Linked DNA regions of Elephas maximus indicus. The protein of the gene in region 2 interacts with the protein of the main gene of each other region in a pairwise test. Links are inferred from orthologs where the notes say so. Each region holds a gene or a part of one and is shown on either strand. Other genes may lie near its edges.

What was found.
Region 1: the proteins of PTN (region 2) and DNAJB11 interact in a two-hybrid assay, tested with the Homo sapiens proteins (2 studies listed by BioGRID and IntAct). The link is inferred for Elephas maximus indicus from reciprocal best matches to the Homo sapiens genes PTN and DNAJB11.

Annotation. Positions count from the first base shown.
Region 1 is NC_064819.1:28,474,871-28,486,354, forward strand, and holds the start of DNAJB11 (dnaJ homolog subfamily B member 11), read right to left. Parts: upstream 6,030-11,484; 5' UTR 5,823-6,029; coding exon 5,755-5,822; intron 2,850-5,754; coding exon 2,693-2,849; intron 1-2,692. UniProt on the Homo sapiens protein: As a co-chaperone for HSPA5 it is required for proper folding, trafficking or degradation of proteins.
Region 2 is NC_064826.1:12,586,475-12,598,135, reverse strand, and holds the start of PTN (pleiotrophin), read right to left. Parts: upstream 5,324-11,661; 5' UTR 5,059-5,323; intron 1-5,058.

The DNA.
Region 1 (11,484 bases), on a different chromosome or scaffold from region 2:
AAAACTCATTTCTACATTAGTTCAGAAATGACCAAAGTCACTACGATGGGCCAAAAACAGAAGGTAACAGAAAGGAACGTTTTCACAAACATCCTTCGAAAATAGGTGCTTTGGGGCAGCAGAGAGGGGCATAGCTAACTTTCAAGCAAAAATAGTTCTCTTACTAGTAGGTCATCTGAATTTCTAATTCTCTGGTCTTTTCTTGGCAAAGAAATGAGCTTCACATTTGTGTCTATAAAGAAGATCATTTTCAAAACCCCCAAATAAAGACACTTTTATGCCAGTTTCTTTTTAGACATCAGAGGCTTCTATAATAACTCTCAAAAAACGACCCTTGAAGTCATTTATTTTCACTCACTTTTCCTCTGGCTGAGGAATGTAATTTTACTCCATGGTCCTGGAAACTATTTTATTTAAAAAAAAAAAAGGAGGAGGAGGGGTTTCTTAGTTGATTTTGGCCAAACAACCCAGGGTCTCCACTAATTAAAATGCCAGCAGTAATCCCAGCTCAGTAGAGAAGACCAATTTGTATTCACAAAAGAGCCCTTCATGCAGTGCTGGGATTCTGATTTGTGAACACCACTTCACCCAAGGACCAAGGGCAGTCGGGCTTGACAGTTACAAAGAACGATGCAAAGTTCAACTTGTGACTAGCAAGTTTTTCATAGTTTCACAAACTGCAGTCTCATGAATTATCTATCCTGCCTAGGGCTCAGATAAAGAACGTGACAGATTCTTTAAAGGGCATGGTAAATTCTTACCAACAGTTTCCTAAAACCCAGTGCCATTGAGTCAATTTTGACTCATAGCGACCCTATAGGACAGAGTAGAACTGGCCCATACAGTTTCCTAGAAAATATTTTTGACTACTGGGTTCCTAGCAAATAATGGGACTGTTCATGGGAAATATATGCAAAATATGGAATCTGGTGTATTATCAAAAATATACAAAGTGTTACCCGCAATTTTTGAGGGTCTACCAGCTCTCTCAAATTCATGGGCCCCAGGTTAAGAATTTCTGTCCTACAGGCTCCCTAAACGTATGAAGGAAATAAATGGGGAGTCCACTGGCTCTAGGTTTCACACAGATATTAGTCACTCAATCCCATAGTGTCTTTAATCGGGGCGGTGTGGGGCAGGAGGGGGGAACTTTGAGATGCCTTCCTTCTGGGTTCTTTCCACTAAAATATTTTTCAGATTTGTTCTCAGCGTCTTTACTACACAGCAATTTAATCTGAATGCAGGAGTTTTACCTCTATGATTTTTGGAGTTAAAATATTTTTTCCCTGAGGGACCAAATTGCTGGGCTGAGGGCTGTGGGGACCATGGTCTCAGGGAACACCTAGCTCAACTGGCATAACAGAGTTTATAAAGAAAATGTTCTACATTCTACTTTGGGGAGTAGCGTGTGGGGTCTTAAAAGCCTGTGAGTGGCCATCTACGGTACAATTCTGGTCTCACCCCTTCAGGAGCAAGGAAGAATGAAAAAAACTAAAGATACAAGGGAAAGATTAGTCCAAAGGACTAATGGATCACAACTACCACTGCCTCCACCAGACTGAGTCCAGTACAACTAGATGGTGCCTGGCTACCACCACTGACTGCTCTGACAGGGATCACAGTAGAGGGTCCTGGACAGAGCTGGAGGAAAATGTAGAACAAAATTCTAACTCACAAAAAAAACACCAGACTTACTGGTCTGATAGGGACCAGAGAAACACCAAGAATATGGCCCCCAGACACCCTTTTGGCTCAGAACATCACTTGAGGTTCACCCTTCAGCCAAAGAGTAGACAGGCCCATAAAACAAAACAAGACTAAAGGGGCACACCAGCCCAGGGGCAAGGACTAGAAGGTGGGAGGGAACAGGAAAGCTGGTAAAAGGGAACCCAATGTCAAGAAGGGAGAATACTGACATGTCGTGGGGTTGTTAACCAGTGTTATAGAACAATATGTATACTATTTAATGAGAAACTAGTTTGTTCTATAGACCTTCATCTGAAGTACAATAAAAGAAAAAAAAATATATTTTTTCTGTGCCCTTTTAAAAAATGGGAAGAAAAATATGCCTTGCTCTATTTCATAGTGTCCCAGTGACAATTAAATGAGACAATATGCATGAAAGTGTTGTGACTTCTAGATTAGAGGTTACAGTTAATACAGTGTTTGCATTTCCATATGGCCAACATCTAGCTAGGTAACAGCCGCTGCCTTGTAATGGGGCAGGAAGCTCTAGTTTGTAACACTCCTCACCATTCCGTATTGCTCCCCATTATGGCAGCAGAGTATCCCTTGTCTTGTTGTATCTTATACCTGCCCTGCACGTTATTTGTCTGGTCCCTGTGGGTGTGTGGATTTGCACTTAGACTTTGTATTTCTGGCTCCAGCTCGCAAACTGATTGGTTGATTATAGATGACCAATCTACTCATTAGTCTACTAATCGTACCTTCTCTCATTCATATCTTTTTAACATTACTCTCCTTAATAAAAGAAACACTAGTATGGAAGAAGGAAGGAAACGTCTATTAACATGAATGTGAGATCTACTACAATATGGTTAAGTATGACTTTTACTTTTATCTACTGTCTGGTTTTAAATAGAAGTGACCTGAAAGAAGAAAGTTTCTAGGCTACATGGTCTGTTCTGTATCTGTAGGTTTTATTCATACTTTATCCTTTTTCCTGACTTACCTCATAAGCAGCACCCAGATCCTGGAACTTCTCCTGAGCTCGCGGGTCATCGGGGTTCCGGTCAGGATGAAGCTGCAGGGCTAGTTTCCTATAGGCTTTTTTAATGTCCTTTATAGAGGCACTTCGAGGCACCCCCAAGATCTTATAGAAATCTCGCCTGGTGGGGATGGGGGAAGAAGACATCATTAGAGAGTTGTATATTACATTTTATAAAAGTGAGGTTTTTTGCATTTACATTTAGGTTTGTGTTTGAGCAAAGGGTTAGGAAAATGAAGATATACATATGATGCAAAAAGAAAAAAAAATGACTAGAAAGAAACACCAGTCCTATATATTAATCGCAATGAGAGGCTATGTACATTTTGAGCAATGCTAGAATTATTCAAAACATCTGTGGCACTTTTCTTTTAGAACTACCTTCAGTCAAAAAAAAAAAAAAACTCTTATTTTATGGTCACAGGTTATTTTCAGCCAATTAACTGTATCATGAAAGAAACTCTCCTCTTTATTTCCCTGTATCGACTCCAAATGACTTCTGACAATTTCCAAAAGTCAAATAACAACCTCAAAGGATTATTTTCCATACTCAAAAAGATTGTTACATTAATGTTTTCATTAACAGTGGAACTACTGGAATGTTAAAGATGAAGTGACTAAAGCTCATTTCAGAGGTTAACACAGAGTTTAAACCAAAGCACACATGACAAACCTGAAGAGAAAAGAACATCCATTTGGATGTATAAATTGTGGTGTGTTTGCTGAAAGAGAAAGCCAGAAGAAATATCAATCTTCTTGTTATGCTAGTTTGTCTAGGTCAAGTCTTAGTTAAAGACAGCTGCTGAAGCCCGTATGCAGAAGCCTGTATGTCTCAGCAGCCATGGGTATGCATATGGCATATGCTGGGAGGTGACACAGAGATCCACTGACCTCCTTTCCATGAACTATGCTGGAACCCAATTAATCTTAATGGGGATCTTTGCAAGAAGGGCCAATGGGAAGGTAGAATAAGACTATTAAAACTTTCAGGATAGGGATGGTATTTGGCTCATAGAAGAAACCAATACATATTCATTGAATGAAATGAATAAAAAAGAACGTTCGCAAGAAAAAAACCTATGCATTCCTTTCACCACCTTAAGTTATTCTGAAAATGCTTTCTCAACAATGAGGCTGGGAAAGTTGTTCACAATAGTGACACTGATGTAGCAGTGAAGGTAAAAATATATTGGAGTACCAAAATGCAAGTCATATAGGACAAAATATTAAAAAATATAAGTTTCATAAGCCCTTAGTCCCAGTTTAGGAAAAAAATCACTTGACCATTTCATGTAATTTTTTTTTTTTTTTTTTAATTATCACCCACAAGTGGTTCCATGAGAATTAGGTGTCTTCTGCTCCCCCCAAAACGTGTAAAATCTTGACATCTCTTATGATAAGAACTAAATAAATCAAAAGGATTGCTATAATTAATAACTAGAGGTCTAAATCTATAAAGAATGATGCTTCCTTGGAATATACTTAATATAAAAAGGAAGAGAAACAATGGCTAGTATAGCTAGCTCACCATCAACATTACCGTTCCCAAGAGGCTCCTTTATGAATGAAGTTCAAAGCTACAGTATTAACAACATTTATATCAACATTTTATTTAAACACCTTAGGGTTCTTGTTGGAGCCCTGGTGGCACAGTGGTTAAACTCAGGCTGCTAACCAAAAGGTCGGCAGTTCTAATCCAGCAGCCACTCCTTGCAAACCCTATGGGGCAGTTCTACTCTGTCCTATAGGGTTGCTATGAGTCAGAAGTGACTCGACAACAACGGGTTTGGGTTTTTTTTGTTTTTTTTTTTAGGGTATTTGTTGCTTTAAGTGTTAAAAGAACTACCAAAAACATGCCGAGAAAAAACAATAAAAGCATTACCTAGGATAAGTAAATATTTTTGACATTTAGTGTTTCACAAAGTAACAAAACGGTAAGCATAAATGCACATTTAAAAAAAAACTTAAGAAAATAAGAAGCACATAGATTTTAAAGCTCTGCTAAATACTATCGCCCCTATTAGAACAATGTATAAACTGTCAGAAGCTAAGATCCTACTAATCCCTGGCATAAACATCCTGTGGTCACCAGACTTAGAGAATCATGCATCTTAAAGACAGGAAGGATCCTCAAGAGTTCATCTGGTCCTACTCCCTTCATACAGGTGGCACATTATCCTCGTGTTACAAATGAGAATTTATACAGGTTCCTTCAAAGTCACATAATTCATAAGTGGGGTGGGGTTTGCAGGCTAGAATCCCAGTCAGGTACCAGTTGGTGAACTGCTTCTCTCGCTCATAATGTCATTCAGCTTCTCAAGAAGGTACCATTGAGAGAGACAGTGACACACAATCACAGCTTAGGCTCAATACTCCAGGAAGCTGGGAAGACTCTCCAAACGGTCTGCCTTGCTCCTCAATTAATTTTCTTCAGTCCCAGCATGGCCTCCCTACCTCTCCCCTCACTTCGTCACTCAGCCTGCTATCATAACCCACCCACTTTAATATCAGCGCCCCAATGGCTCGTCGCAGGCACAGCATCGCATCGTCCTCTTCTCCAGCCCAGCAGGCACAACAACCCACCTCTCTGACCAAAGACCTGCCCAGGCCCCTCAACCTCAGCCTGCCGCTGTCACTCCTTCATTATAGCCAGGGGCTCCGTCCCTCTCCCACCTTTGCGTGACACTGCTTCCGCTCACAAATCACTTGCTTCGCTTCAAATACGCTCCTCCTCCCCCCGCCAATGCTGTTTGGCACTGCATCCAACTCCTACATCCCTGGGCTAATTTAGGTCTTCGGGGCCTCTGGATCTAAGTCCTTCTCACTCGTGTTACCCACGGCTCTCCTCTCCACCCCAAGAGCCTGGCCTGCACTATCCATTCCTCCTCCCCACCGCCTCACCACGGCACTGCCCCTCTCCACTCCCTCAGCCCAGCAATGCTCCGCCCCCCATCTGCCCCCGGCCGCCCTCCTCCCCAGCAAAAGCTGGTTCACGGGCCCCGTGCCCGCGGGGGCCTGGCCCTCACCCGGCGATCACGGCCCCGATGAGGTACAGCAGCAGCAGGCAGAAGGTGCCCAGGTTCTGCGGGGCCATGCTTCCTCCGTCCCGGACCCTCGCCCACGCTCTCCTCACAGCCGCCTCAGCAGGCGCGTTGGCTAGCCAGTCCACCCGGCCCTGTAAGGCCGCTTCGCGCCGGGGGTCTCCTACTCGGTCCGCAGCGACAGGTAACTTGCCCCCTTCCTCTGCCAGTCCACTTCCCGGGGATCCAGTCCGGTGAGAGAAGCCACAGCCGGCGACGGCCAATAGCTGCTTGGGACATCACACGCTGCCGGCGCCTCGGAGCCAATTAACGCGGTACACTTCACCTCCGAGGCGGCGCGGACGGCCAATTAGGTCTCAGAACTGCAGCCGCAGCTCGCGACCAATTACAAGAGGAAACGTCAGAAGGTGGCGCCGCCGCAGGAATCCTCTCAGCTCCAGCTCCAGCAAGTCATAGAAAATTACGTAAGAGAAAGGTGGGGCCAAACGGGGGTACCAGAGGTAGGTTTCCCCTCGCCCGCCTCCTCGGACTCTTCACCAATCAGAAGGAGCCTCCTCCGGCTCCAGCCAATTGCGGGAAGGAGACTTTATCTTGGTTACAAGTCTCGGAATTTCATTCACGGTGAAGTGCTTGCTGGATGCGGGGGCGGGGCGACCTAGGCGAAATGGGCGGGGACGAGAATTCCCGGCCAACGGTACAACGGATACGTTGTTTAGATCTTATTTTAAATTCTCTTAACAGCCCTACGAGGAGGTTGTCCGCGTTTTAGAGAAGAGGTCGTGGTGCCTAAGGTGAATATTTTTGGTAGAGGCAGACAGACTTAGGTTTGAATGAGGCTCCCACCACTTCTTAGCGGTAAGACTTTGCACAAGTCTGAGCTGCTTGATTATATTAACAAAATTGGGGCAAAGCCCCCAGTGACAGTGTTGCTGTGAATTTTAATGGGAGAAAATCTTTAAGTCGTTTAGCACAGGTTCTGGCACATAGTAAGCACGCAATGAATAATAACTATTATTACCGTTATGACCAGAACTCTGCCCCAATCTAGTCTTGCTCATCTCAGGAAACTCACCAAGTTTAGAACAAAACTCCAGGTGTCTTCCTTGTCCTAGTATTAACACTAGAGTGACGCTCCGCTAGAAATTATAACAATTTTATTGAAGGAAAAAGACAAGATAATTTCGCGAAATGGAGAATCCCACGGGCACTCAAACAACAGGCAGCATGTGTTCTGGCTTGTGAGGACAGCAGTGAGGTATTTATCAGGCAGAACAAACAGGCAAGTGGTTTTATATCCAAGGGGATGCAGGATAAGGAAGGACAAATTTACAAGGGGTTGTCAAACTACAAACTTTCCTAACTTCGATTTCTAGCCTAACATCAGTCTCTTACTTCCCATTACAAGTTGACTAAAACAATATTTTTAAAGCAAGCTGTGTAAGCATTCCTGATGAGGGGGTTTAGTGATTGATTGTACACTGGCTCAACCTTAGTTGGAGTCCTTGAAATATAAAAGTCGACCATTTGGTTAAAAAACCCAACCCAGTGCCATCGAGTTGATTCAGACCATTTGGTTAGGAAGATGAAATCAACTCCAATGTGAAGCCTCTCGAAATGTAAACACTGCCAATCTGGCTGAGAGGAAGTGAGTTAGGGCCTAGGCATACACTGGATTAACTCTCTGAGAGCAGTTAAGATAGCAGGATTATTTACGTAAGTTCTACTCTTTGTGTCATAAGCAATTAAAACTTTCACAGGAAGCCAACTTGTCTTTTGTAGACGGCAAGGGCAAGCTTCAAACGTAGTTGCAACTTCATCTAAAACAGAATTTCACTTTGGGTCTGGGATTAACCATTTCAATCATGCCAAGCAGCCCCAATTTTAGGGTTTGTTTATTCATCCTCCTAACTGTATCCTGAATATGTCCACTGCTCAACATCTCCACTACTACCTCTGGGCCAGGTCACCATCTCTCACCTGGCAAGGGCTCCTCAGTGGTCTCTCTGCCTCCACTCTTAATGTCCTACCATCCATTGTTCACTCCTGTCCTTCTCTCCCATGATTTAAAACATTAAATTATGTCGCTCCTGCTTAAAAGCCCCAGATGGCTTTTCATTGCACTGAGAATACAGTCCTAACTCTTTAGGTGACATGATCTGTACCCTCACCTAGTATACTCCGTATCACGTTCCAGCAAACCTGGCTTCCTCTTTTTTGAATACACCAAGCTCATTCCATCCTAGGGCCTTTGTATTAGCTGTTCCCTCCACCTGCAACACTCTTCCCTCAGATCTTAATATGGGTGACTCCTTTTTAAACTCAGATATTAGGAAACCCTGGTGGCGTAGTGGTTAAGTGCTACGGCTGCTAACCAAAGGGTCGGCAGTTCGAATCCGCCAGGCACTCCTTGGAAACTATGGGGCAGTCCTACTCTGTCCATAGGGTTGCTATGAGTCAGAATTGACTCGACGGCACTGGGTTTGGTTTTTTTTGGTTTGGTATGAGTTTAAATGCCAACACTTCAGAGAGGACTTCCCTGACCAACCAATTCAAATTAGCCCCCACTGAGTCCCTTATTCTTACGCCACCCTATTTTATTGTTTCCAACCCTACCCCCCCCCCCCACCCCCTTGTACTCACACACTGAGATGTCTGTTCCCGGAGATCATGAATCTGGTCTGTTACATTCACAGCTGTATCCCCAGCATCTTAGAACAGCTCCTAGCATAGGGTAGGAGATAAAAATTTTTTGAGTAAATGAATAGTTGTTTTGACTGTGATCTTCATGTGGCTGGCTTTTTATTCTTTGAACCTCAGCTCAAATATGCACACCACAAAGTGGCCTTCCCTGTCCCCTTCCTCCATCTCTTCATAGCACTTAGCACTATAAAAAATTATCCTATTTTATTTATCATGTATTGTCCAAAAGGTCAGCAGTTTTAATCCACCAGCTGCACCTTGGAAACCCTATGAGGCAGTTCTTCTCTGTCCTACAGGGTCACTATGAGTTAGAATCAACTCGATGGCACACAACAACAACAACAACATTCTCCCTATTAAAATATACACTCCAAGAAAGCAGGGACCTTGTCTGTTTTGTTCACTGCTGTAATCCTAGTGCCTAGTACTTTGCCAGGCACACAGTGGTGCTCAATACAAAATAATTGCTGTTGCAGAGAACTGAGGCACGGATAGGTGATGGAATTTGCCCAAGGTCACTGAGCTAGTTAACTGGTGCAGAATGGATCCTAATCCGGGTCTATTTGAATCCAAATCCCCTGCTTTTTGCATCTTGACTCTTGTAGAGTTAAGGGGAAGACAAGATTGCTGATTTCAGGAAATGCTTATTAGGGGAGAGAGGCCATGCAAAAGAGGAACTAAATTACATCGTATTATCTTATTTATCTTTGTATACCCCACAAGTACAGAGGCCATAAACAAACAAAGAAAGCAGGAAATGGCCAGAAATCATAAAATGGAGGTTCAGAGAAAGGAGTGACATATTCTGAGTGGAATCCAAAAAAGCTTCATGAAGGAGGCAACATGGCATAGCCTCGTCTGAAGCTAACAGAATTAAGGCAGTAACGCAGGGGCCTCTCCCTTCGGACTGCCTAGGTTTGAATCTTGACTCCATCTTTTATTGTGTGACCTTAAGGGTATGTTATATCGGATCATAAAAAACTGTGGATAACATTGCGAAGAATGGGAATTTCAAAACACTTTATCGTGCTCATGAGGATCCCTCTCTCCCATGATTTAAAACATTAAATTAGACCAAGAGGCAGTGATTCGAAGAGAACAAGGGGAAACTGCATGGTTTAAAGTCAGGAAAGGTGTGCATCTGCATTGTATCCCTTCACTGTACTTATCCAACCTGTATGCTGAGCAGATAATCTAAGAAGCTGGACTATATGAAGAACGGGGCATAGGGATTGGAGGAAGACTCATTAACAACCTGCAGTATGCAGATGACACAACCTTGCTTACTGAAAGTGAAGAGGACTTGAAGTACTTACTGACAAAGACCAAAGGCTGCAGCCTTCAGTATGGATTACATCTCAACATAAAGAAAACAAAAATCCTCACAACTGAACCAATAAGCAATATCATGATAAAAGAAGAAAAAATTGAAGCTGTCAAGGATTTTGTATGACTTGGATCCACAATCAATACCCATGGAAGCAGCAGTCAGGAAATCAAATGACACATTGCATTGGGCAAATCTGCTGCAAAAGACCTCTTTATAGTGTTGAAAAGCAAGGATGTCATTTTGAGGACTACAGTGCACCTGACCCAATCCATGGTATTTTCAGTTGCCTCATATGCATGTGAAAGCTGGACAATAAGGAAGACTGAAGAAAAATTGATGCCTTTGGATTATGGTGTTGGTGAAGAATATTGAATATACCATGGACTGTCAGAAGAACAAACAAATATGTCTTGGAAGAAGTACAGCCAGATGTCCCTTAGAAGCAAGGATGGCAAGACTTCCTCTCACGTACTTTGGACATGTTATCAGGAGGGACCAGTCTCTGAAGAACAACATGCTTGGTAAAGTGGAAGATCAGCAAAAAAAAGGAAGAGCCTCACCGAGATGGATTGACACAGTGGCTGCAGCAATGGGCTCAAGCTTCACAAGGATTGTCAGGATGGCAGAGGACAAGGCTGTGTTTTGTTGTGTTATACCTACGGTCACTATGAGTTGCACGCGACTCGCTACCGCCGAACAATACAGGTACGAGTTTCCTCATCAGTCAAACAAATGAACTTGACTTAGAGGACTCTTGGGAAGACTAAGATAATACACATGAAGGTGTTTTACACAGCTGCCACGGTAAGTGCTCATGTAAACTGCCATAATTATTACTACAGATCAAAGCGTGCTGACCTTGCAACAGCAGCTCTTGGCCAACTACCTTTCTGCGGAGCAATAGAAAACTTCCTACTCCCTTAGGTTGGAGCCCTGGTTGCGCAGTGGTTAAAGCGCTCGGCTGCGAACTGGAAGGTCGTGGGTTCGGACCCACTGGACCCACCAGCCACTCCGGGGGAGAAAGATGTGGCAGTCAGCTTCTGTGAAGATTTATAGCCTTGGAAACCCTATGGGGCGGTTCTGCTATGCATCAGTAACAACTGGACGGCAGCAGTTTTGCTTTTTGGTAGGTTGAAAGGCGAGACACCAGAAAGGAGTCCAGTCCGGCCCCAGGTCCCAGCGTGGTGGCCTAAGCCAAGTTTCTCTCAGAGTGACTGGAAAAGCAGCCGGCCGCTCTGGCAACGCCGTCCGCCTGTTCTCGGTGGTACAAGGGCTCGCGCTTGCGCTGTGTTTGGCGGCGGTGCGCGGCAGAGGGCGAGGGGCGGGCGGGCGAGCGCGACGTGGGGCGCGGCGGCGCGTGGAGAGGCCGGCGGAGCGCTGCCTGCCTTCGCAGGTAACCGCGCGTGGGCTGGCGCCAGGGCTGGAGGGATGGGCCGGTGGAGCTCCGGGCTGGGGTCGGGTAGGCTGCCTTCCCGCTGGCCAGGCCTCGGGTCCCCTGCGGACCCTGTCAGCGGGGGCTTCCGGTCGCGGAAGCCGGTCGTGTCGCTTGGGGAGCTCAGGTGAAGCCTCAGGGGGGCCGCCGTGGGCCTCACGCCCATCTCCCCGCCTGAAAGATCTTAAGGTGCCCCAGCGCCCCGGGGGAGTTTCTGAAGAGAGAAAGAGCCCAGCTTGTGTTTGTTTACATA
Region 2 (11,661 bases):
GAGAGCGGGCTGTCTCAATAGGGGGAGAGTAATTGGGAGTGTGTAGCAAGGTGTATATGGGTTTTTGTGTGAGAGACTGACTTGATTTGTAAACTTTCACTTAAAGCACAATAAAAATTATTTAAAAAAAAAACCATTCAGCCACTAGAGATATTCCTGAAATATGCTGTGTAGTCCTGAAATATGCTATGGTGTCCAACCCAGTACTTGACATCTGGAGATATACAGTAATTGTTGTTCCACAGACTGGCCATAGCAGCTAGAAAAACTGTATTGTTGGGGTAGGACCTGGGGGGTGTGATGGACATAAACAACCCCAGTTGCACCCTACATTCAAATTGAGTCACTGAGAGAAGAATGACGTGAACATTTCCTGCGGTGATGAAAGCGTCAGTTGCCCTTAGACAGGGTCTGGGTCAAAAAAGGAAAAATCTAGTACACTCGATCAAGAGTGCCTTGGCCCTAAAAACAGGTTTGAGTAGACTACGTCAGACAAATGCCAAAATTTCAGCTAGCCAGATCCAACCACCCATGCATTCCAAGATACGGGCAAACATTTCTGATACGTGTGTACATAAACGGATACAGACAGACCATCCCATCTACAGGGAAAGAACTGCACAAAAGCCCATGGGGATTTGTTGGATGGGGAAAGAATTGTTGGATGGGAAATGCTGGCAAATGGATTAATAAAAGGATTAATTAAGAAATAAGAGCCAGAGGACAGGGAAATAGGTAAGTGCAAAAGTTGGAAGAAGGAGTAAAAGGTTGGAGGCGCAGCGTGCTATCAGCGTTTTGAAATGATGTTTTGGTGCTTATTAAGAGCAGTTCTTAGGATTAGGAGCCCAAGTGTCAATTACAACGACTCGCTTCTTTCAAGACTAATATAATTCCACAAAGAATTTTTCTTTTTCTTTTCTTTTTTTTTTTTTTACTATATATGATTTTTTGTTTGTTGTTTGTTTTATGAAGTTTAGGAATCTTTAAGAATTCTGTTTTTAGGAAACTCATTTCAATTATCTTTTAATCTGAAATGTCACTTTAAACCCAATGTGAAGAAATGGCTCAACAAGTGGCGCCCAGTAGAAGAAATTAAGAAGTATTTCTAAAATTATCTGAAGCACGACCTATTCACTGTATTCCTTGCCTAGTCCTTAAATAGGCATTTGTGATGAATGTGCTCTATATAATCGAACCCTCAATATTAAAAAATTAGCATAGTAATAATGCTCTTTGATACTGTTTTGTTACAGCTACCCTTTTAAACCACAGAATCTTTAACTTCTATTTATTATGTACTAAATAAATCAAAAACCGTTGCCTTCGAGTTGATTCCTACTCACAGCAACCCTACAGGACAGAGTAGAACTGCCCTATAGGGTTTCCAAGGAGCAGCTGATAGATTTGAACTGCGGACCTTTTGGTTTGCAGGAAAAAAAAAAGCTTGCTACATTATACGACCTGGTTAAGACTGTAATGACACCGTGGAAACCATGCCACATACAAGACTGGCATTAAGCGGATGTAAAAATGACCCGGCGGGTGCGAGCTTGAATTGGTCATAAACATCAAGAATGGAGAGCAACTTTCAAAAGCGAGGCCATGGGCCGAATCCCCTTCAAGCCAATTGATTCTGGATGGGAAAAAGCAGGTCAGGCTCCAAAGAAAAGAAGGTCCATTTGTGAATATTATTTTACCCCAGGGCAACAATGTGGCCTTGGGCCAACAGGAAACCAAAGCTCGAAGTGCCTCTGATTACTCCCTAAAGCAGCAGCCTGGGGAGAAATTATCCCTCACCCTTAAAGAGGAGCCCTCCCCCACCCCGACCCCAGGCATCACCGCCAAAGCTGTATGAGGCGGTTCTACTCTGTCCTACAGGGTTGCTGTAAGTCGGAATAGGCTTGAGGGCAATGGGTTTGTTCGGGTTTGGTTTTTTGTTTGGTTTTGTGTTTGCTCTCTGGCCATCCAGAAGTAGAGCCCATTTGTCTTCGTTCACCCAGGCTGGTCTCAGTGTGGACACTACCTTCAGGAGAGAAGTCAAAGGCGATTTAACACCATGCCACCATTTTAAGAAGCAAGGGGCATAAGTGTGTACAAAGAAGGCCTGGCCAGGCAATGTTTAACACAAGGGTTAAGCACTCCGCTGCTAACCGAAAGGTCAGTGGTTCAAACCCACGCAGCTGCTCCACAAGAGAAAAGACCTGGCCATCTGCTCCCTTAAAGAAGCCTAGAAAACCCTATAGGGCAGTTCTACTTTGTCATATGGGGTCACTAGGTCCACTAGATGGCACCTATCAACAAATGTATAGAGACCTGGAATTTATATTCTGAATTGCGACCCTCAAAGGACTGTTAACTTATTACACCATTTTGAACAAACCAGCTACGTTCAGTTTTCTAGGAAAAATTTGATGAGGAACAGAACATCAAAAATAGGAATACTTTGTGAATTCACGCGAGAATGTCAGTTAAATGAGAAGACAACAGCCCCATCAAAGAGGAAAAGCATTTTAATTTAACATATTTAATTTCTAAGATTTTTTTTTTTTTTTTATGAAAGGGATCAAAATATTCGGAGACCTTATTTCTTACAGGTTATTTCCAATGATCAGGTTTTGTGAAAACTCAACCAAGCGATTGGTGTTATGGAATAAAAATACCCCATTTAAAAAAAAAAAAATTACATGAGTATTGCTGACATGTTGTTAAATGTGAGGACCACATAAAGAACATGTCAACTTTCAATAAGTTAGTAACCCAAGTCGCATGGAGAGATCTAAGAAGCCACAGAATTTGCACTAGCCTCATCTCTATAATACCTCATTTTAAAGTCAGTTAATAAACACTCACACAATAATAGTGGTTTCATTTCTTCTACAGATCTAGCTTCTAAACTAGACCACATTTGTAACCACAGGCAAACAGCAGGAACACAGCAAACCACGTGGTTATGTAAGGCTTCAGAAGGGTATTCCACATACAGGCCTTTCACTAAATGAGAAAGAACATTCTAGAGTGGTCTGTGAGCAGCAGCGGAGGGCAAGTGTAGCTTTCCAAAGGTTTAAACTACAACTAGAGAACTTAGAGACCAAACGTTCCCAGAAGAACAGCACTAGTTGGCTTTTGTCCTGATTTGGTTTGATTTTTCTTCTTCTTAATAAAGTTACAAACTATGTCGTCCTCTAATTTAAATGTGAAAGTATAGATGTTGCTACAGGGAGACAAAAAGTATGCCCAAGGCAGGGGAAAAAAGATCATGTGGGCTCCATGTTCCTCTGAGTTTAACTACAAACGTGTGTAACAATGTGGGCTTTAAAATGTATACTTTTCTTAAATAGGCACAGACCGCAGACGGGAAATAAAAGCTTTCAGCTCTACGCCAGGAGGCTCTTTCCTTTTGTTTCCCTCCCATCACCGCTTCACATTTCTATCAAAATCAATAGCAACTCATAACTCAATATGAATTTTCATCCTTTTTTTTTTTTTTTTTTTGATGACCAGGGGCAAAAGCGGGTTCTCCTGTTTCATCAATTCCATGTTTGGCTGGGATCACGGAATTGCTTTCCCCATGTTTATTAGCTTAAAAGCTCTCCTCGGCACGGATGGGGACAGACACACACACACCCCACCCACCTTTTCTCAAGCTGTTAATGTGAATTGCCGAGAGAACCTTTCAGATGAGAGATGCTAGTAGCTGGAAGACTAAGCGAAAACAAACCCAAACCTGCTGCCGTGGAGTGCATTCCGACTCATAGCGACCTTATAGGGTTTCCAAGGAGCGGCTGGTGGATTGGAACTGCCGACCCTTTGGTTAGCAGCCGAACGCTTAACCACTGCGCCACCAGGGCTCTGCTATAAGACTAACCCATAAAAACCCAGTACCCTCGAGTCGATACCGACTCATAGCGACCCTATAGGGCAGAGTAGCTATAAGTTACAAGACTAGCACTCTGGTATTCCCTCACTTTGGTCATTTTCCCCTTTCGCTCCCTCCTCCACGCCTATTTTCTCAAGGTACCCCCCAACTTAGAAAGCAGCTGTTAAGAGGGAGGTGAACAATAGAATCTATGTACAGACTGTGTGTGTGTTAAGACAAGAGTGTGTGTGTGTGTGTGTGTGTGTGCGTGTGAAGGAGAAAGGAAGTTTTATGTTCTGTGTATTAACTAGGGAAGGAACTGAATACCTTCCACTCCTATATAGAGAGAAACTGTAAGTATCTGGCAAATTAGTAATAAAGATCTCCTAGTTCCACGTGGGGAACCCTGGTGGCGTAGTGGTTAAGCGCTATGGCTGCTAACCCAAAGCTCGGCAGTTCGAATCCATAAGACCTCCTTGGAAACTCTGTGGGGCAGTTCTACTCTGTCCTGTAGGGTCGCTATGAGTCCTACTCGACGGCAACCGGTTTTTTTTTTTTTTGGATTTTAGCTCCACGTGGGTGGAATAAAAAGTTAAAGCGCTTGTACAAGGCAGTTATTAAGATCGGCTTTCAAATGAGAGATGGGATTCGGGGATCTCTTTGCAACTTTTAAGTTAACCAATTCTAGCACCTGCCTGGGAGGGCGAGCAGGGCAAGGAGCGTCAGCTGCCACGGGTGGAAGCAAGGAGCCCCCCCTCCCCCGTCCCACCTCACCTAGAAACCCGCCAAGAGCCATCAACTGGCAACCCCTGGGGCCATCAGAGAGGCCAAAAAAGGAATTAGAAAACGGAGCCCTGCTGGCTGAGCCCGGCTTCTCCTCTCCTCCGCCCAGCCTCAGACACACCTCCAACCGCCCCAGGTTTCACAAAGAGCCGGCCATCCCTCCAGCCCGGCCGGCGTGGCCTCCAGCGGCAGGCGGGGACGCCGCCCCCGTGTATTCCCCTACAACAAAAGCTGTCTTCTCTCCCCTCAGGTCTGTGCATCCGAACTCCCCGCACGGACTCCCCCAGTACGCTCCAGAAAGACCCCAGGCAGCCCCTCTCCCACGCCCGCGCCACGCTCGGGTGCACCTAGTCAGGTGGCGCCCGGCGCCGGGGACCCGATGGAGACACCTGGGCGCGGCGCGCCGGCCCTGCACTTACTCGGAGTTTCAAAGGTCACCGGAGCGCGGAGCTGCCTTGGTGACGACGGCGCGGAGTCCGCTCGGAGCCCAGGTGCTCTCTGCTGCCGCTCCGCCGCGCGCCCTCCTCGCGGTGGCCTCCCCGCGCGTCCCCTCCTAGCTCTCTCCGCACCTGGGCGCGCGCCTCTGCTCGGGGACCGCCGGGCAGGCTGCGGGCTGGAAAGCGGGGACCGAGGCTGCGGGCGCTCGGGGACGCGGGGCGGGAAGGAGCGGAGGCGCGGAGCCGGGGGCGGGCGCGGGGGCGGGGGCCGCGCGCTGATTGGGGCGCTCGTTCCCGCAGGAGCCTCCGGGGCAGGGCCCCCGCGGGAGCACGCGCGCGCACTCGGAGCGAGAGGCCCTGAGATGGAATCCGGCTTTGTCTTTTTTTTTTTTTTTCAGCAGAGACTGAACACGCGATGTCTTTCCCAAACTTCATGCATCTTGGGGTTTTTTTCTAATTTTTTTTTTTAGCCAAGAGACTGCACACCAGATGTCTTCCCAAACTTAATTTGTCTTCCCTTCCTTACACGAGCGCATGTGCACGTCCCAATTTACCCGGGAGGAGATCTTAACTGGACAGTGGACGGCATCTCAAGCTACAGTTTTGACCCCAGATAATTTTTCCAAAGATGCCGTTGGAGGTGAAAACGAACAGTCCTCATCCCAGCCTCCCATCTCTCCCCACCCTCAGCTCCCTCCTCCACCAGCCCAGGTTACTTAGCTGTCGTCTCATCCCACACGAATGTCACACATGCGCAAAGTACGCTTCTGCGCTTGTCACGGAGAGGGACAGACGTCTGAAAGTTCCCAATTAAGTGCCACTTCCCTTGGGGGTCTCTTTCCATTTGGGGCTTCTGTAGTGCTTTTAGTGACCTATTTAGCGACATGCGTTTGACACCCAAGACTTTAGAGGACTCCGCAATGTAGTTGCAACTGCGGGGTTTGTAAAACTCGGAGACTGGGCTTCGTGGCTTTCTGGAATTGCCTTTTCACTCACTCTAGGAAAGATGCTAGGGTGTGTTTCTGTCACACATAGATGAATATTTATGAGATGGAGGAGACAAAAGCAGTGTGCAAAATGATTAAGAAGTGTAAGACAAATTTACCTCAAAATATAAAAAAGGCAGTCTTTCTGCCCCTCATCAGTTACCGCTCCTTGTCATGGTCTTTTCACTTCCTCTCAGTTTATCATTTGATGGTGTCCACCCCAAGCGAGGCTGTAACATACACTTCCATTCTTCATACTTCTGACACTGCGTCCTCGCCATTCAACTTGACAAATACACATTAACCGCTTTCCATAGCTCTTAATGTTTACACTTAGAACCATTCCTAAATCCCAAAATTAGAAGGATCATTTTGTGGCAAGTAGTTTTTAGGGACTCCAGGCTTTCATGATGATGAATGCCTGGACAAATGTCTCATGAAGGAGCTGGCTGGGGACAAAGAGGTGGCTCTATAGGTACAGCTTTGAATGAATGAATGCATGCATGAAGAAATGAATGATTTTATTTTTTTAAGGAGAGAGAAAAGAACAGCTTCCATGGAGGGGACTCCAACGCATGGCAGCCCCATATGTGTCAGAATAGAACGGTGCCCATAGGGTTTCCAGCAGCTGTGGTCTTTGGGAAATAGATCACCAGGCTTTTCTTCCAAGGTGCTTGAACCTCCAACCTTTCAGTTAGCAGCTGAGTGCATTAGCTCTTTGCACCACTCAGGGACACCTTTAAAGGAGAGGAGTCAGAAACTCACTCACATTCCTCCAGTCTGTCCCCATAACCAAATTCTTCATACACACACCCCACATCATCTTCAAATGAAAGACAGAGATAAGGAGCCCCCATCTTCCTCTACACACAATCTTTATGTTGCCTGTTCCCCTTTTTTGAGTCCATTTTCCCAGCGAGGCCAGTCATGTTTGTTTTAGTCTGATTTCCTGTGTGGAAATGACGGAAGGATTCCAGTTATTATTTTATTATGGTTATTTTTTCCAGGTCATTTACTGAAAGGGGTTTCTCAGCATTTACTCTCTCTCCATAGGGGTGGAGTTTCCTAGCCATTTAACAAAGGGTTGTCCATTTTCCTCTTAAACCTTATCTAAAGGTAACCTGTTGCTACCAGCAGAATGAGGCTGGCTTTGTTGTGATCTCACCTATAGGACTGGTAAAGTGAGCGTGAGATTCCCTCGCTTCCTACTCAAACACACGTGTTACAGCAGAAATGTAACCTTTTATTCAAATACATATACATGAACATGACTTACATCACTGGCTCTCAAACAGGAGCAATGAACACTTGGCACTCCGGGGACATTTCTGGTTTTCACAGCTTTGGGGAGGGTGTGCCACTGGCACCTGATGAGTAGCGGCCAGGGATACTGCCAACCCTCCTGTAATGCACAGGGCAAGGCCCGCGACAGAGCTGTTTGGTCCAAATGTTAATAGTACCAAGACTGACAAACCCTGACTGACACTATGAACCACTCTATTTTATAAATACAAAAGAAGATTAAAGAAAGCGTTGTTTTTAATAGGAATCTATGAGATTGAAATTAGTCATAATTTAATTCAACCAGGGTTTACACCAAAGTAAGTAGAAGGTATTTTTTGATGCACTCTGAGATGTTCAGCCTCAGTTCCAAACTGCACCTGGCTCTGCTGCTTCAAGATTTCAAGCCGTTGTACGCATTTAACCCACATTCTTGGAGCACTTTTCAAGTCTTTGGGTGCTGGGAATAGAGCTATGGACAAAAACAGATAAGAATCCCTAGCTTCATACAACTAATTAACTAATGAAAGAAACAAAGAGAGAGAAGAAACATATAATGAGTGCCTTGGAAAAAACAAGACAACGAAGGAGGATAAAGTGCTGATTTGGGAAAGGAAAGCTCAAGAGGGTGACATTTGAATGAAGACTTTAAAATTGAGGGAGTAAGCCCAGCAAGTATTCAGGAGGAGCAGCTCCATGCAGACGGATCAGTATGTGCAAAGGCCCTGTGGTCATGCCTTGCCCAGTGTGTGAGGGGAACAGCAAGAAGGCCACTGGGGCTGGAACAGAGTGGTTGTGGGGAGTGTGGTAGGAGGCTATGTCAGGAAGGTAATGCTAGAGCACGCACAGCCTTTGGCCACTGTCGGGAGTTGTACTTTTACTCTGAATGGGTTGGGAAGGCTCTGGAGGGATTTGAGGGGAAGCATGACAAAAACAAGGTCATTCTGCTGTATTGAGAACAGACCTTATGAGGGCCAGGTGGAAACAGAGATGCCAGTTATGAGGCCACTGCAATAATCCACTTCTTCCCCTTTTTCTGGTTTCTCGTGAAGACTAATTACACACACACAACATACACACACACACACACAAACACTGTTGCTGTCAAGTTGATTCCGATTCATGATGAGCCCATGTGTTACAGAGTGTTAAAGAGTACAACTGCTCTGTAGGGTTTTCTTGCCTGTAATCCTTAGAGAAGCAGATTCCGAGGCCTTTCTTCCCTGGCACAGCTGAGTGTGTTCGAACCACCAACCTTGGGTTAGTAGTTGAGCTTAAACCATTTGTGCCGCCCAGGGACCTTCGACTAGCCACACACTGCGCCTTAACTTTCTCTGGCCCCAAAAGCTCCTGTCAGCAACGGCTTTGGCTTCTCCGCCAATGCCTCGCCTCTCCAGATGCAATTAATAAGGGCCCTGCCCAAATGAGGCTTCCTGGGCTCAAATATGACTGACGCCAGATGGTCTGAAATCACAGAAATTATAACATGTCCAAACAGTGTGCTGGAAATGAGGCTGCTGATTTTGCCGTGACAAATACAATGAGAAGTGTGATCAGCATGAAGTTAAGAAACGGGAAGGGACCTGATGAAGAATTTGCCAGCATGTCTCCTGGATTGATGGCCTGGCAGGAGGATGAGACTCTTGGTTAGCGCTCCGAGTTCTTCTTCAGCATCCCTGGGATTCAGAAAGGCAGTTCATCAGGCTGTCTCATTTTGATAGAAGCCTGTCTTAGTCATCTAGTGCTGCTAAAACAGAAATACCACAGTGGATGGCTTTAACAGAAATTTATTCTCTTACAGTCTAGGAGGCTAGAAGTCCGAATTCAGGGTGTGGCTCTAGAAGGAGGCTTTCTCTCTCTCTCTCAACTCTGGAGGAAGGTCTTTGTCTCTTCAGCTTCTGCTTCTTGGTTCCTTGGAAATCAACATGTGTCCTGGCATCTATCTTATCCCATCTCTCTCTCTGCTTGTTTGTTTAATCTCTTTTACATCTCAAAAGAAATCGACTCAAGATACACCCTACACTAATCCCACCTCATTAACGAAACAAAGACAACCCATTCCCAAATGGGATTTTAATCACACACACAAAAAAAACCCATTGCCCTCCAGTCAATTCTGACTCGTAGAGACCCGCCCGGTAGGACAGAGTAGAGCTGCCCCATAGGATTTCCAAGGAGTAGCTGGTGGATTCGAACTGTCAACATTTTGGTTAGCAGCCAAATGCTTAACCACTGTACCACCAGGACCCCAGAGGTTAGGATTTACAACATATATTTTTGTGGGACACAATTCAATCCATAACAAAATCCCATTAATACATTCCTCTTTCTCGCTCTGAAATATTTCAAAGCTAATGAAAAATGTTTACTGTATTGTTTTAATTACTGTGACACGATTACAAAGCCCACTTCTACATTAGACACATTTTTGGAATGATTGTGCTTTTTCTTGATTAAAAATAAATAACCAAAACCAGAAAACTCTACTAAAAATGGCTTAAATAATAATTTAGGAATTAGTGTCACAAGCCACACGGCCTGATACAATCGGTGTTTTAAAGTCTTCAAGGGCCCGGGTCTTTCTGGTTTTGATTCCGCATTGTCAGTTGTGAGCTAGGGCTCTTCGGGATGGTTAGAAGGAACTTGGAGCATATTTGACTTAAAGTAGCTTGTTAGTTGCTGCTCAGTCAGCGAGTCACGTTGACCCATGCACGACAGGGCTGGACCTTGGCGATCTACAGGGCTTTCACATCGGCTGATTTTGGGAAGTAGATCATCAGGCCTTTCTTCCTAGTCCTTCTTAGTCTGGAAGCTCCACTGAAAGCTGTTAAGCACCCCTGCAACACGCAGGCCTCCACTGACTGACAGGTGCACAGGCCAAGAATCAAACCTGGGTCTCTCGCAGGGAAGGGGAGAGTTCTGCCACTGAACACCACTGCCCTCTGACTTAAAGTAAACCAAACCAGTTGCCATTGAGTTGATTCCAACTCAAGGCGTCCCCGTGTGTTTCAGAGCAGAACTGCACTCCTCAGGGTTTTCAATGGCTGTGATCTTTCAGAAATAGATCGCCAGGCCTTTCTTCCAAGGTGTCTCTGGGTGGCTTTGAACCACCATTTGCTTAGTAGCTGAGTGTTTAACTGTTTGCAGCAAAGTTAGACTCCAGCTTAAAGTAAACACAACCCAAAATGCAGCTGAGAAGAGACCAGCTTCCCAAGTCCCATAGCTACAGACTCCGCCGGCAAGAGGAAGGAGTGGGAAGGGTTTGGAAGTAATCAATAGTGCCTGCGACAATTCGTCCTTGAAATTTAATAAATCTGCATGGGGTTGTCTCAGTCTGCACAGCCCCTTATGAATCTACGTAGCTTGACTTAAGCCCCTCAGTCTTGTTCTTCCTGCCAAGGGCTGCTAAATCAACATTATAGACTAGCAAAGCTGGGGAGCAGGCCTTAAACCATGGCCTCACCCAGACTCACCCATTCCAGAAAACCACAAATTACCCAAAGAGGTCTGATTGTACATTACAAGGAAACAAAAATTACAGACCAATAGGTCTCATGAAGGCTGCCTGGGTGGTACAAACCATGGAGTGTTTGGCCACAAATCAAAATGTTGATGCTTCAAGTCCACCCAGAAGCCCCTCGGAAGAAAGGCCCAGGGATCTACTTCCAAAAGTTCACAGCCGTGGAAATCCTGTGGTGTGTAGTTCTACTCTGATGCACGTGGGGTCACCATGAATCTGAATCAACGGCAACGTTTGTTTGTTTGTTTGTTTTTAATGCCTCATGAACATGGATACAAAAGTCCTTAACAAGTGTTATCAAATCAAAGCCAGCAATGTATACTACACGTACATCATGATAAAGCCAAACCAAAGCTGCTGCTTTCTAGTCAATTCCGACCCACAGTGACCCTACAGGATGGTACAGAGCCGTCCCATAGGGTTTCCTAGGAGTGGCTGGTAGATTCGAACTGCTGGCCTTTTGGTTAGCAGCCATAGCTCTTAACCACTGCTCCATACATGGTGTTTAGCCCAGGAACGCAAGTGTGGTTTCACATTTGAAAATCAGTAAGTATAGTTGATTATATTACATTTATTAACAGAATAAAGTATGGGAAACGAGGAGTAACACTTCAATAGTTAACACAGCTGACAAAATTCAACACCTGTTCTTGATAAAAGTCCTCAGCAATTTAAGAATATAAAGGAAAATCCCCATTCGGATGAGAGACACCCACAGAATGTCTCTAGTTAACATGATACTCCATAGTGACTGTGACTGCTTTTGGGCGGCAAAGTGTTAGTCTTGCCCTGGTGGCA